Linked DNA regions of Arabidopsis thaliana. The protein of the gene in region 3 interacts with the protein of the main gene of each other region in a pairwise test. Each region holds a gene or a part of one and is shown on either strand. Other genes may lie near its edges.

Region 1 (4,464 bases), on a different chromosome or scaffold from region 3:
ATATATCATATAACGACTTCTTTTTATTTTTATTATCCTCTTTACTAAAAACTAATGAATCTTATTTCTTTAATGCAAGTCTTACAACAGCAAGTTTGCACTATGTGATTCCAGGTGGAGTCGCGGCGGCTGTGAGGTATGAACTCAAATTTTTAACCAAACATATTCAACATCTTCTTCCTAAACAATAATAGTCATTTGGTTTCTTGCAGCACACGCGTGTCAAACAAATTGGGAGCTGGGATTCCTCAAGTTGCTAGGGTTTCAGTATTGGCAGGGCTTTGTCTCTGGCTTGTAGAGTCAGCTTTCTTTAGCACACTTCTCTTCACATGCCGAAACATTATAGGCTACGCATTCAGCAACAGCAAAGAAGTTGTGGACTATGTGGCTAACCTAACTCCTTTGCTCTGCCTCTCCTTTATCCTCGACGGTTTCACAGCAGTTCTGAATGGGGTTGCAAGGGGAAGTGGTTGGCAACACATTGGAGCTTTGAACAACGTGGTAGCTTATTATCTTGTAGGAGCTCCTGTTGGAGTATACTTAGCTTTCAATCGTGAGTTGAACGGAAAAGGACTTTGGTGTGGTGTTGTGGTCGGATCCGCTGTGCAAGCCATAATATTGGCTTTTGTCACAGCTTCCATAAATTGGAAGGAACAGGTAAAACACTTAGAATAGAAGATTCGTCATTTTAGCATGTTATACTTGTACATTCTTTTTTGTTCTTTCTTTAATACTATGAAGTAATTTTAATCTATGATTTGCAGGCTGAGAAGGCTAGGAAGAGAATGGTCTCTAGTGAAAATAGATTGGCTTAAACTAAGGATGTTTCTGAGAGCTATCTCAAACTATTTTTGTAGGTGTTGAGCAAATTTTTATGTATGGTATATTAATGTGTTAAAAAATGTTCTTACAAAATAATTTATATGTATGATTTTTTCTCAGCCTATCTTTTTCACTATGTTGTGTAACTTGTAAGTGTATAATCATCATTTATCCATAAACATGCTTTTCTTAATTTTTTCACATGTCATTCCCAATAAATTTATTTTATGGTATTTGTGACTATAACCACAATCTTCTACCAATAAATCTTAGTGAACCCTTTCCGAGAGAGCTTTTAGGCTCATAATACAATACTATTCAGATTTTGAAACTCGGACCTTCACGACAAATCTCTGACGAAACTTTGGATTCTACTTGAGAGCGGCTGTCACTTTTAGTTTCAACCACAAATGATTTACTAAAACCTGTGTAAAATCAGATCCAAATGTCTTTAAAGTGGTCTAAAGAATCAAAACTTAAGGTAAGCAAATTACTTAAATTAGAGTCAAACTTTAGGACTATATAAAAATATAAAAATCCACAAAAGTAATTAATACAAGATTGAATGTTCAAACTCTACAAAACAAAATAATTCATATTAGTCTTCAGTCTTCACATATGTTCTTATGTAAATAATTAAAAAGTATTAACACTAATGACATGTCATTTTTAATATGTATATTCTATATATCTATTTTTATAATATAGTATATTCGTGTGCCACTAGTATCTATATTTTCAAACAAGTCAAAACGAATTTGCTTCTTTACTCATCATATCTACTTCGTCACCACGTTTGTAGTTCAAGTTGCCTTTGTTGTTTATTGACTTAGTCGGTCTATAAAGATAGGATAAATATCATCTTAAAATCAAAGGGAAAGGCCTTCAACGTTAAACAATGGAGGAGCCATTTCTTCTGAGAGACGAGCTTCTAGTCCCTTCTCAAGTCACATGGCATACAAATCCATTAACCGTCGAGCTAAAGAGAGTGAGCCGCTTGGCCGCTCCTATGGCCACTGTGACCATTGCTCAGTACTTATTGCCTGTCATCTCGGTCATGGTCGCTGGCCACAACGGCGAGCTCCAGCTCTCCGGTGTCGCTCTTGCAAACTCCTTCACAAACGTCACCGGTTTTAGCATTATGGTAATTATGCTATGACTCTAACCTTTTCAACTCAAGAATCAAATGGACTCTCTCAAGTATTGAAAACACTTCAATTATTTTTGTGCAGTGTGGATTAGTGGGTGCACTTGAAACTCTTTGTGGCCAAGCTTATGGAGCCAAACAATATGAAAAAATCGGAACTTACGCATACTCTGCTATTGCTTCCAACATACCAATTTGTTTCCTCATATCAATTCTCTGGCTTTACATCGAAAAGATCTTGATTTCTCTCGGACAAGACCCTGAAATTTCAAGAATCGCTGGCTCCTACGCCTTTTGGCTTATACCGGCTTTATTTGGCCAAGCGATTGTCATACCACTGTCCCGGTTTCTGCTAACACAAGGGTTGGTTATTCCTCTGCTCTTCACTGCCGTGACCACCCTTTTGTTCCACGTTTTGGTTTGTTGGACTTTGGTTTTCTTGTTTGGTCTGGGATGTAATGGACCTGCCATGGCTACAAGTGTGTCTTTCTGGTTTTACGCTGTGATACTCTCATGTTATGTGAGATTCTCCAGCTCTTGCGAGAAGACTCGCGGATTTGTATCCCGAGATTTTGTGTCTTCTATCAAGCAGTTCTTCCAATACGGAATCCCATCAGCTGCAATGATTTGGTAAGTCATTTTAAGTTGTTTGTCCGTCAAGTTACATACCCTAATGCTCTTCTTCTTATCCCGCTTGCATTTTCTCGGTCTTCTTTAATAGTCTAGAATGGTGGCTATTTGAGATACTCATACTCTGCTCAGGTCTTCTCCCTAACCCGAAACTCGAGACCTCTGTTCTTTCAATTTGGTAAGTACCATAGAAGGACTTCTTTTTATCTTTTGTGGTCTCTTTACTAAAAACTAATGAATCCTGTTTCCTTCTTTTCAGTCTTACAATAGAAACTTTGCACTATGTGATTTCAGCTGGAGTCGCCGCGGCTGTGAGGTATGAATATGATCTCAGTTTTATCATTCAGAACATCTTCATCTTATTATAGACAATTCTTTCCTAAACATTTAGTGATTGGTTTCTTGCAGCACACGTGTATCAAACAATTTGGGAGCTGGGAATCCTCAAGTTGCTAGGGTTTCAGTATTAGCAGGGCTTTGTCTCTGGATAGTAGAGTCAGCTTTCTTTAGCATACTTCTATTCACCTGCAGGAACATCATAGGATACGCATTCAGCAACAGCAAAGAAGTTTTGGACTATGTAGCTGACCTAACTCCTTTGCTCTGCCTCTCCTTTATCCTCGACGGCTTCACAGCAGTTCTAAATGGAGTTGCTAGGGGAAGTGGTTGGCAACACATTGGAGCTTGGAACAATACTGTTTCTTATTATCTTGTAGGAGCTCCTGTTGGAATTTACTTAGCTTTCAGTCGTGAGTTGAACGGAAAAGGACTGTGGTGCGGTGTTGTGGTTGGATCTACTGTGCAAGCCACTATACTGGCTATTGTCACAGCTTCCATAAATTGGAAGGAACAGGTAAATAGCCATTTCAGCTTTTTACACTTGTAAATTCTTTTATGTTCATTCATTAATGCTATGAAGTAATCTATGATTTTGCAGGCTGAGAAGGCAAGGAAGAGAATTGTCTCAACTGAAAACAGATTGGCTTAAACAAATGATGTTTCTCATAGTTATCTCAAACTATTTGTATGCCTTATGCAAATTTTTTTTGAAAGATGTTTATAAAAGAGGGTCATTTGTTTTCTTAATCAATTTTATGACAAGGATTTATAAGTTTTCTTCAATTTTGGTATACAAATGTAATAATTACAAGTGAACAAAAACCTCATTGGTTCCAAACGGGGATGATCCCTTGTGCAGCAAGACGCTTCTCGACCCAAAACACAACGTGGTTCGCAGTTGGTTTCCTCTCGTCGACAAGAAATGGTTCCACGGTGCTCGGACCTGACCCGTGTGAGGAAATTGAAAATCCTTTTGCTCCTGTTTTAAGCAACAAACCAAAAGACATAATGTTCCATTGAAATTTTCTGTAACAAGAGTCTCAAGTAAAAGATTCAATACTTCACCTGTAAGGTTTCCAGTAGGGAAAAAGGCCCAAAAGGAATATGGAATACTTTTCTTTAAGAAAAAACCTTCCAACTGACACAAATAATGATAATTGTCTTAGAAGTTTAATCAAGAAGACATTTTGAGAACATCCAATAAAACTGGAGCCATATAGGGTAGAGAGATGGCCCCATAAGCATGGCAACAAAGCATTAGAAGTTAGAAGCAAGAAACCTTATCGTCTTGGAAAGATAAATCTATGTCAGAGATATCATCTTGAGATTCAAGAATGGCTTGTAAAGGAGGAATCACGTCTTCTTCCATCATTTGTCTCAGCGGTTTCGCCACTGCAGCCGCTTTAGCTGCGGGTTTAGGTTTCTTTGCCGGAACCGCCACTGTTGACTCTTCTCCTTCTTCTTTGTTTTTCTTTTCAGTAGCAACTAGGAAGAGAACAAGAAAGTTACTCTTCTCGAATTTTTGA
Region 2 (6,942 bases), 7.1 Mb from region 3:
AAACTAATAATTACTTTAAAAAATATTACAATTTTTAATTTAAATCTATTAATTTTGTGATTACTATTGTATCCTTAATGAATTTATTTAAAAACACTAACAATCAATGGCATTCTATGTAATATTCTACCCTTCATAAGGTTGTTTATTTACAATACTTCCCAATTAATAGTATAGATTTTGACATTGAAAGAAAAATAGTTTTAAATTTTATACTACATAAAAAAATTTGGTGAATAAAAATTCGGTAGAAGAAATGTTAAAATAAGAAAACAACGTATATTTTGTTTTGAAAAATCATAATAATGAAAAAATAATTCTACCTTTATCTGCAAATCTATAGCATAGCCAAGAAAAATTCGAAACAAAATGCTAACAAAACAAAATGGCTTTGATTTGTTACGACAGCTTTATAATAGTTACACTAGATTTTTGTTGTAGTGCTATTTCTTTCTTCTTTGATCTATATCAGTATTTGTTTACCGTTTTTTCCTCTCAAATTTTTTTCTCTAAGAATGTGCGATAATTGGTTTGCCACTTGAAAGCTCTTAAAGATTCCTAGTTTAGTAGGTGAAAATGATCACTGAGTTAAGGACTGATACTTTAGTGGTCCAAATTCGTTACCACTTGTTTCACATTTACATTTTACGCAAGTGTGTACATTCGAGGGTGAAGTAGAAATTCAAAATTCGAATACAAACTCAAGTTTTACTTCAATCTTCACCATCATTCGTTTTGTAAAGTTTGGTTTCGACTTGGGGATTCTGGTTCAACCCAACGGTTCAAACGTTTCAACGACGAAGACACCTGCATTATTTATAACAATAAGGAGTAATGTATATATACAAGTCAGTTCTTATATTATAACCAAAAAAAAATACTTATAATTTTCTACTAAAAATCCAATAATATTCGATTTGCAAACCTGTTGATCCCAGTCTGTTCTCATAGTCATTACTGTAAGCACGCAAGTCTGAACGAAGATTCCGAAAATCATTCCTAACCAAACACCCTAAATTTTATATTTAAAAAAAAACTATTTTATATTTGTATATACAAAATTAAATTAAAAAACTAAAAAGAAAATATTAATAATAAAAATTGAGACTTACTTTGACTTGTAAACCAACGACATAGCCAAGAAAAAGACCGGAAGGAATTCCAACAAGGTAATAGCAAGCAAGGTTAACGACCGTAACATATTTCTGCCATCCCGCTCCAACAGCAACTCCTGTACCCATTTATAAATAAGTTCAACATGTTGTCTAGGGTTATAAACAAACTCATTCGTCACGTATTCATCATATAATGATAAATTGGTAACTCATTATACGTGAAAGTGACTGGATAGTGGATATATATCACACAAAACCCTTTCTACGTAAAAACCTATAATAACCAATTTCACATATTCAGTCAATGCATGAATATAGAGTGATCATTGAAAAATGAATCCCTACAACGTTCGATGAATTAATGTCTTATATATGGTAAACAATATAGGAGTATCGAAAAGGCAAGATACATACCAGAGAGAACTGGTTGAATACTGTTCAAGAGAATGGAGAAGGCCAAGAGTGGAGAAAGATCGGCTACTTGTGTGGCAACAGCTTCACTTGTTGTAAAAATGTATGAAACCCTTTCTCTTAAAAACAGGAAGATAAAGAAGAAGATGATTCCTATCGAAAGTGATGTCGAAACCACAACCATTGTTGCAAATTTGGCTCCATTAGAATTCCCACTCCCGATCTCGTTTGAAACTCTTACACTATTACAAAACATTATTACAAAATAAAATAAAAATATGAAGATGATTATAAGATATTTAAATAAAGCATGTGTAATCAAATATTTAGAATGACTTAATCAAGAAGAATATAATCAAATATATCTAGTATATACAATATATACGCACCTTGCTGCTGCCATGAAGCCGAAGGCTACCATCATCTCCAGTGCATTTATATTGATGCTGCGAAAATTATAACATATAATATTGAATCTAAGTGCCTATGATCAATCGCAAAAGCATTATGCTATTCCGCGGCTACCAATTAGCTAGAGAGTATAAGTACAATTGGTAACCTAAACCTATCATTTTCTCTAGCATCAATGTATATTGTTATGTAGACAATAAAACCAATTCTTTCTGTTTTCCTACGAACAATGTTCGTCAGTAGTGTTCCGTATGAAGTCAAAAATGGTAAAATGTCAGTAGCATTCAGACGAATGATCTAAAGATAATGTACAAATCGATCGTATGAATATAGCTTCAAAGACAAAAGACATAAAACTGATAAAAATACTTTACCAGATTGCAAGTGCGTTAAGAGCAACCTCAGCGTTTTTCAAGTTTCCCGTGAGCAGAATCAAGATCGAGTTGTACCATAGCTCCAAGCTGCCAAAAATTAATATCACCAAGCAAGTGCTATTATATATTATCATAATATATGTGTATATATATATATATTAATCATAGTAATATTATAACAATAATATTAATACTATTATAGTAATAATATTATTATACAAATACATAAACACGAAATTTTTCTCTATAACATTTATTCAAAATTTCTCAACCTTTGAGAAAATGAATGAATGTACTTGGCAGCTTTTCACCCAACGTGGCATTATATATAAATTAGGTGATCACCCGCGCTACGCCGCGGTTTTTTCGGAATTTTTCGTATTGTTTAGTTTAAATATAATTTTTATTTATCTAATTATTTATTCATGCAATAAGCAATTATTTTTAGTTTCAAGAATATTTTTTCTAACAACATTCTCAACAATGCATCATACATATAATTCATAAATAACGTTTGTATTAAACCAACTTAACAGAGGGTAGTTTTGGATTCTAGAAACCTAAGAATTTGATGATGGAGCTCCTTACGTATTCTTCACTCTCAGTGATTTATTGTATAAATATCAATTTAAGAGAATATAAATATCAATTTAAGAGAATAACTTACTCAAATCATTAAGTAATCTAAGACTATTATATAATCGTATTTTGAGTTTGGATTACAAAAAAAAATCTTCGAGTATGAGAAAACTATTAAAATTGTTTTATTGAAAAATCATGTAATATTAAAATAAATTTAGTAATACTATAATTAAATATGTAAAATTAAATAATAAATATATCATTAACCTATAAATTAGAAGTTGAAGAGCTTACATTAATTACTTAGTAGACACATGGCAAATGCTAAAGTGATGATGTGTTAATCATTTGGAGAGAGTTGGTCAACTTTTCATATATATGATTACAACCACATGGTCTACAAAAGTATTTGTATGACTAGTAAATATATACTTATGTCGTTGATGGATGTTGATACTTTTACCAGGTGAGAAGATTAGAAAATCATACCAAATCATGCCACCGGAAGATACAGATAGTTTAAAAACGGGCCAAAGATCCTTGAAAGCCAACCAAGAGAATCCTCTCCACGTTTCCGTACATCCACCGCATGTGACAAATAAAACCTGCGCAATGTTAGGCAACCAATGTGCTACGAGCGAAGAGGTCATGGCACCAGCGATCCCGAAATCAAAATGAACCACTAGAAGCCACGACAAGAAGACATGGACTCCTAACGAAACAGCAGCAACGTAGGCGATGATCTTGTTCTTACTCTGAGCTTGGAGGAACATTTGGCAAGTGAAGGAAGGCACAAAGGAGATGTTGATGCCTATGACCCATAGAGCTATGATCCGAGCCACACGAACAAGGCGTTCCTCTTGACCTAAAGCCAAGAGAATAGGGCCTGCAAAGATGTAGATGGGCATAAGGCAAATGGTACAGCCTGTGAGGACGATCCATGATCTTTGGAGGTAGATCCCAAGCATATGATATTGTTTTGCTCCATAGGCTTGACCACATAGTGTTTCTAGCGCACTAGCCATGCCTAACTGCATATTGTTTCATTGACGGTTCGTTATTACACCAAAAAAAAACTATTTTATGGTTAAATATTTTACATATTTTGCCTATAAAACAAGAACTAAGTAGGTTTGATAAACGCTTATATATAAACAACTATAATATTTAAACTTTAAACTTGGATATTGCATGTTGATAACTAAAAAATGTATATAACCTATAAACTCTTGTTGGTAAAGAGATCATATATTGTGTATTGAATTTTTTTGGTGTAACTGAATATATGTCCAATGGTCTAATAACATTTTAAAAGCACTATTTCATATTATAAATTCGAACCTCACACATGATATGCTAATTAAAGACCAAAACATTAAGAAAACGATGGCATTGGCAGGTGACCATTGGACATTTGTGGCCAATGACTCGCTATACTTCTTGACAATGTTATCTTTGTTGCACTATGGAGTACAAATAAGAAAAGGGAATATATTGTCTTAATATAAATTAATCTTCTGACTATTCCTTTATTTTTTTTGTCATTTCTTACAATATTTTTTTTTCACTTTTTATAAAATCAATATATTCTCCAACTTTTTTTTGGTTAAAGGTGTTTGTTATATTCTCCAACTTTCTAAACTTTATTCTATTTTGTATTTACCCACTGATTCTACTTAACAATGAAATGTTTTTGTTGCATTTCCAACCATTAATAATAATTGATGTAATAATCAAAACTCATGGAGTTTCAGTTGAGACTTGTTTATGTGAAAAAGGTAACTACACTAACAATAAACGAAGAGTATACGACCAACAATGCCTTCCAAACATTCAATATCTTATATACATAGAAATAGCATAATTTCATTTCATAAAGGCAAAGAGTTGAGTGGTTGTGAATTTTTATGATTGGTTGACAAATCAACCAAAACAAGTTCCCACAAGAAGTCTATCTAAGCATTCACGTCACCGTTTATATAGTACGATTTATATCATTCAAACTAATCAGAACAATCCTTAACATATATTAATAGTTATTAAAACAAAAAAAAATTGTTTTTATGTTTTACGAATTTGTAGTAAAGAGTGTGTGGAAGAACTGATCTAATCGTTATAGACTTATAGTAAACTCACCAAGATACCATTACTAAAACGGAGGAGAACGGTGAGAGTGATGGAGTAAGCGGCCAACTCGGTAGAGCCAAGATGGCCAATGAAAGCTTGACTTATCAAAGATAGTCCGGACGTGGAGAACCTCGTAAAGATCGCCGGCCCAGCCACAACCCATAGCTTTTTAGATTCCCTCCAAACCTTCTCCTTCATCCCTAACCCATCCCGATCTTCTCCGCGATTCTCCGTCGACTTTTTCAGAAGGGTCTCCGTCACTTCTCCTTCTCTTCTCGCCATAGCTTAGGAGAGAATGAAGAGAGAGTAGAGAAGGCATGGAGCGAGGAGAGATTTTTGTTTGGTGGGTTGTTTATTTACGTACGGAGGAAATGAAAAGCCGGCCTACACCTCTTTTTAAGATTCTTTAATTTGCCAAATTGGTATTTTATATGCAAAATGAATACTTTTCATAAATAAATTTTAAATAAAATTTAAAATTTGTCAAAATTACATTTACATTTATACATTGCATACCGAAAAAGACATAGCTAGTTTTGAACAAATCACCCAAAAAATGGGATGAGATAGTCGAAATATATATCACAGCGAGGTATGGCCTCTACAAATATTTTACCAAAAGTTGGTGTTTGAATAGACACATCTTTTATAACCAAACCAAATCCAATTAATTGTTGTAAGAGTTTAAGGTTTTTTGAAACGAACAAAACAAAAATGCAAACTATTGAAACACATCACACATCGGTGGTGGGGGTGGTGTTGTTGTTGGAAGGCATGTGACCGGTGGTAGTAAGACCAACGGTTGGTGTTTGGTGGTAGTTGTAGTAGTTTCCGTTCATGAAAAGGATGTGCGCATGCTCTCCAACATAACCCACTTGTTGATAAGGATATTCCATCAACATATTCATGAGTGGATCATGTTGAAACGGATACTAATGATTTGGATCCAAACTGAAATTATCATAGATTTCATGTTGGTATTGAATATGATAACTAAGACCAATAGGGATATAGAGCTGAATCGGCTCATACTGATTCTGATCCATCGGAAGATCGGCACCCGCAACAGGAAGAGGAGCTGCACCCGCACCCGCAACTGAAGTATGAAGTAGAGGAGGAACGGAAGAAGAAGACTCACCATTGTTTGTAAGGATCTTGACCCTGGAATTAAGCTGATTGATATAGTGATCAATATGAAAACTTAAATCTTGAAGGTCCCTTGCACCATACTGATGCTCACTTATCTTACCCTCAACACAATCAAACATAAAATGTGTAAGCTGAGTTTCTCGGTTTTCAAGACGTAGACGCTCCAGTTTCTTTGTTTCTTTGGTAATTTGGTTCTACAAGTAGGTCTCATGACTCATCATCAGCTTGGACCGTTCTATCGCCGGCCTTTTAATAAACATTAAAACCGCCTCTTAAACACCTTCGGTTGACGACCACACCACTGGATTCTCGTACGGACTGTAGGTTACCACACATGCTTTGACTTCGCAGAGAGTTGTCAACTCATGGAGTTTCTTCGTTATCCGTCCCTTCCTCATGGGCATGCTTGTGTTAGTTAGTTTCGACACTTCTTCCCCTATCAAGCTTACTGCAGTTCGTGTCTCTATGTTTGAGTTATGTATGGTTAAGCTTTTCAATTTTCGAACTTGTTACTCGGATTTCTCCGATGAAGCCTAATCTTCATGTATCTTTCTAATTTCAATTTATAAATTATGAGCACACAAAAAAAAAACCTTGAGAAAAAGTTGTGGAATTGTTTTGTTTTTCTGCATATAATTTACCAAATAAATAATTGAGCAAAACTTGAAAAAAACTTGAGAGAAACTTAGGAAAGTAGTCACAGCATTTAGTTATATATTTTTTATAAAGGTTTTCAATGATGTTATTTTTGTTATGTTTTTAATAAATTATGT
Region 3 (4,465 bases):
TCCAAGTGCTAATCCTTCAAAACCACCCCCTTGCAAAAGAGTCCTTCTCCATAGCTTGTAAACCAACCAACCATCTCTCTCATACCCTAAACCGCGGTTTAGTCTCCATGGAGACGTAATTTTTTCCACTTTTGCTTAGATTTCATATTAGGTTTTGCAGCCATATCGGCCTGGAAGTTTTTGTGAAGCGGGCATGCCATGATCTGCATTCCTCCCTCAAGGTTTTTAAGTTTCTTTCCTGGTCCTAGAATGTTAACGGTAACATTTTCTAGCCCCATCAAAGAATGTTCTCAAGAATCTGCCATATACTCAGATTCAGATTTCTCTTTCTTTTCTTACTTAACATAAGGAAGCCATCTACAAAAGAAGGCACCAGTGTGTCTTTAAGAAAAAATTCTTTGGTTTGTCTCTAAGGGCTTTACTCAGATACATCATCTGAGCATTTTCCCCAGATTTCTTGATTTGTTTTCATCATCTCTGTACAGAATCTCTATCACATATATATAAAGAAGTTTTCCAGAGTGTAACTTTAGGAAAAATGAAAAACTCAGAAGGAAGAGTTTGTTGTATTGTTAAGACAAATATATATGAGTGGAAATATATGATTTGTCTTTTGGTTTGATATATATAAGTTTCTTCTAATGCATTAGTTTACATTTTGCTAATGGACTAAGCTTTCTTCTCTCTAACTTTCAGACATATTTGGAAGTAAAAAGTTTCCAAATCAAAAACAATTTTCTTGAAGAATTAAATATTTTGATCCCCAATCTCAGCTTCAGGCCTTTTTCTTCTTCTGCATTCTCTGCAGCTTCCTCCATTTCAGGTAAATTTGGTAAGACAATCCACCGAACACCATCGACACACATCCCCATTGTTTGGAAGATAACGGATTCCCGCTCAAAACTGAAGATACCACGATGCTTACAAACTTCCTGGTTGTGGTTATGGTCGTGTTAGCTAGAGACCCGAATCTGCTTATTGTCAAGAAGATGAAGTTTTGGCCTACTGCACCGCATAAACAGTACATAAGAATGTCCCATGCTGCCTCAGGGTGTTGCTTGCAGAACTGCACAGCTTCAAATCCGCTCCCATGTGGCAATCCAAACATGTAGACCATGTTGTATATGGTTCCCCATAAATTCATTCCCAGCATTATGTCCCATGCGTTAGTTTTGGGGTACCTGTATCCATGTATGGCGATGATTAATGTCCAACATCTAGACCATGTTGTAGATGTCAGACTGGGTTAAGTATCTGACAGAATGTCAAGAGTCATACCTTGCGGTAATGGAATCCTGGGTTGCGTTTGTGAATCCATCAAAGGCAAGGTTTAAGAAGCAAAGCCCGTAACCAAGGGGTGCATTGGGATGTGCTAGCTTGCTGATGGTTTTAGAGCTTGTCTGTAAACCAAGTCAAAGACGGTTTACTACATTTCCACAGACAAAGTATAACAAAGATTATGATCAAAGTTCCTGAATGCAGATTTGCCTACCTTAAGAAGGGCAAACATAGATACTCCTCCGGCAACAAGAAAGGTGCAAAGATACTCAGGCAAAGTGTATCTTATGCCATAAACTAAGGAGCCCATCAGCATAACTACATGAAAGAAAAAACATATATAAGATACACATAGCAGCAGTTGAGAGCGATTATGGATTGATGCTCTAAATTGACACCTCACCTGGAATCATTTTGGAAGATTTTGCAAGGACCTGCAAGAAGCAAGTTTTGCATCAATATTACTTCCCAAGAAAGGTTATTACCTCAACTATCAACCATAATCAAGAAAAATGAGGTTTTTATTACACTAACAATGCCTAATTTACCTGAGCTGGGTAACTAATATACTTTAAAGCTTCAATGCCCATAGCAGGACCAATGGTATTAGTAATGCCAGCACTCCAATACGTCCACCATGGGGCTCCACCAGAACCTCCGTTGGACCAGAGCTTAATCACTGCTCATAATCAATCAAAAATACTTCAGTTCCATTTATTCGTCTGTTATAAACTTATAATTCTAAGGAATAAACAATGAAGATGCCCTACTCACTTATATAAGACCAAACCAAGCAGATTACATTCTGAGCCAAATTCAGAAATGCAAGATGCTCGAATCTCTTCCCATCTTCACCAAATTTCTTCGTCGACCTAATTCGAAAATGTTAGAGTTCTATCAGCTACATTTCTATAAATTTCCAATAATTGCAAACGCATCACCAACCAGGATTCCGAGAATAGAAACAATCTCGAACAAACAGAATCGAGCAATGTCGAGAGAAAATAATCAACGAGCTAAAATAAGATTGATCGATTTCGACCCTAACGAGTTTTACTTACAAGGTCTCTTGAAGAATGCCTTGGTATATGTAAGCTGCCCAGATCCCAGCGACACAGAACGACAATAACAGAACTCGCCGGAGACCGGAACCGTGAGATTCCATCGCCGCACGTCGCTTATTGTTTTATCCGACGGAGCTCCGGCGAAAATTTGAATTTCAATTTTACGCTATTTGATCAGTTTTGCGATCAAATTATGAGATCGGTCTGAAGTGGAAACGAAAGTTATTAGAGAGAGTGTAGGAGGCGCGAGAAAGACGTAGATTTTCCACGTGTAACTGTGTCATTGGCTTAATAATCTGACATGACACTTCTGATTGGCTATAGGACGTGGATTTATTTCTGGAATCCAAGTCATATGCACATTCATGTCTGAGATAGGAATGGGAACTATGTGCCGTTTTATTGTCATGAAAACGTCACGCAGTTTCCTAGAACTTGTAAACGGATGTTCTTTTTACAGCTTGGGCCTTAATTTGATTAAGCAAACTTGCACACAGCTAATCATGTCAGTTTGACTAACTGATGAATTCATACAAATCTAAGATCACTTGTGGTAAGAAAATGAAAGAAAAAGGCGTATATACACAAATGGAGGAAAGTTGCCAACATGATTTAATTGATTAAAATTTAGTGATGACCCATTGTTAAGATTACTAAAACAAAATATGATATATCTTAAAGTAAATGTGACAATAACGTCAACATAGCGAGAAAAGTTTGAAATATCGAATTTCCATTATATTAAAACAAGGTATCACATGCATGCACTCATGCATAGTTCATTATGATTTGAGTAATTTTCTATACGAATAATATTATACTATATCTCAATGAAAATAGAAGTTATATATATTGGGAAACGGAATTTATATGACATACTTAATCCTCATGGGAGAACCAATTATACATTTTGAAGAGTCAAAAGTCAAAACTCAAAAGAGTGACTCTTACCGGATACAAAATGAAAATAGAAGTCTTGGTGAGATAACAAATTAATGTGTAACATAACAATATAATATCATAAAAGATTCCAAATGGGGCTTTTGTCCACACGTGATATGCAATATGCAAAAGAAAAAAGAACTCTCTTTCGATCTGCCGGTCAATAACAATGTGAATATAGATTAACTGATTAATAAGTAGTTTCTTGGGTCAATGCATGGGATATTATATTTAAGAAATACACCAAAAATGTATTCGACGTTAGCCACCACGTTCCATTAAAAATTCAAATCTAAATGATGATTACCGTCGTCTACATCTATGATTACAAATTTTTTGTCTACTATGCGTTTAGTTATTTACCATGGTTTGACGATTATATATATAACACACATAAATTATGACGGTTTAACGTTGTCTCTTAACTCAAAACTTAATTTTACAAAAATATTATTTAAGAGTTGAATCTCATACTTTAATTATTCATTTGGTCAACTAGAATGCGAAAAATCCACAATACTTCGTAACTAATTTCGGGTCCTTTAAATCTTGATCACCTGTTGATCAACAAAAGATCTACACATAAAGATTGATTCATCCATTGACTAAACTTTTATTTATCGAAGAAAGACTATATATATCTAATGCATGCATGCCATATGCACAATAATCTAATAGTAAATCCAATACGTCTCAGAAAGATAAAATCGTCCATAATACCAAATTTTATTCTAAGGTTTTGATATCTCTCATAATTTGGAAGTGTATGTAAAAGTTTCTTAAACATAAATATAACATCCAAAGAAAAGTTGTAAACACTTAACATCTTGATTGAAGGGGAATCTCGCTAATAATTGTGACTGAACGATAGTAAGTATTATTGTAAAATATCGATCAAAATTTCAACGATATGGGCGATCCAGACCCACCACTTTGTTGTCCCTTAGCAGACGTCAACCATGACCATAATTAGTTAAAAAAAACACCAAACAAAAACCACAACTTCCTTTTAATTCTTTTTAAATTCTAAATTTCAGACTAACAAAAAGTATTCATAAGCTGTTTCATGTATGAATTTAATATCATGAATACTAATAACTTGAGCCATTAACTTTAACCAAAAAAAAAAACTTGAACAATCTAATATAATTCCCTGTAACATTTAAAAGATGGAGATGGGA

Evidence for each region. The genes of interacting proteins can lie anywhere in the genome.
Region 1: the proteins of UTR3 (region 3) and DTX1 interact in a protein complementation assay, tested with the Arabidopsis thaliana proteins (one large-scale study listed by BioGRID).
Region 2: the proteins of UTR3 (region 3) and AT1G33080 interact in a protein complementation assay, tested with the Arabidopsis thaliana proteins (one large-scale study listed by BioGRID).

Annotation. Positions count from the first base shown.
Region 1 is NC_003071.7:1,333,737-1,338,200, reverse strand, and holds DTX1 (MATE efflux family protein), read left to right. Parts: upstream 1-1,650; 5' UTR 1,651-1,720; coding exon 1,721-1,966; intron 1,967-2,054; coding exon 2,055-2,599; intron 2,600-2,690; coding exon 2,691-2,777; intron 2,778-2,858; coding exon 2,859-2,915; intron 2,916-3,007; coding exon 3,008-3,452; intron 3,453-3,536; coding exon 3,537-3,587; 3' UTR 3,588-3,743; coding exon of another isoform or gene 3,744-3,917; 3' UTR 3,918-3,931; downstream 3,932-4,464. Other genes in the region: AT2G04050 (MATE efflux family protein), read left to right, coding at 80-136, 213-657, 765-815; AT2G04039 (DUF2996 family protein), read right to left, coding at 3,744-3,914, 3,999-4,076, 4,218-4,423. UniProt on the Arabidopsis thaliana protein: Efflux carrier for plant-derived alkaloids, antibiotics, heavy metal and other toxic compounds. Involved in cadmium detoxification. Requires probably a proton-motive force for the efflux.
Region 2 is NC_003070.9:11,984,112-11,991,053, reverse strand, and holds AT1G33080 (MATE efflux family protein), read right to left. Parts: upstream 5,405-6,942; 5' UTR 5,303-5,404; coding exon 5,030-5,302; intron 3,925-5,029; coding exon 3,383-3,924; intron 2,399-3,382; coding exon 2,312-2,398; intron 1,973-2,311; coding exon 1,916-1,972; intron 1,769-1,915; coding exon 1,530-1,768; intron 1,232-1,529; coding exon 1,113-1,231; intron 1,013-1,112; coding exon 926-1,012; coding exon of another isoform or gene 857-925; exon of another isoform or gene 808-856; coding exon 727-807; 3' UTR 534-726; downstream 1-533. Other genes in the region: AT1G33070 (MADS-box family protein), read right to left, coding at 5,755-5,879, 5,973-6,270.
Region 3 is NC_003070.9:4,910,587-4,915,051, forward strand, and holds UTR3 (UDP-galactose transporter 3), read right to left. Parts: upstream 2,582-4,465; 5' UTR 2,444-2,581; coding exon 2,340-2,443; intron 2,151-2,339; coding exon 2,053-2,150; intron 1,958-2,052; coding exon 1,827-1,957; intron 1,713-1,826; coding exon 1,682-1,712; intron 1,597-1,681; coding exon 1,493-1,596; intron 1,401-1,492; coding exon 1,279-1,400; intron 1,182-1,278; coding exon 776-1,181; 3' UTR 507-775; downstream 1-506. Other genes in the region: FLP (Duplicated homeodomain-like superfamily protein), read left to right, coding at 1-61. UniProt on the Arabidopsis thaliana protein: Essential sugar transporter required for the transport of UDP-glucose from the cytoplasm into the Golgi and the endoplasmic reticulum. Essential for pollen development and involved in embryo sac progress.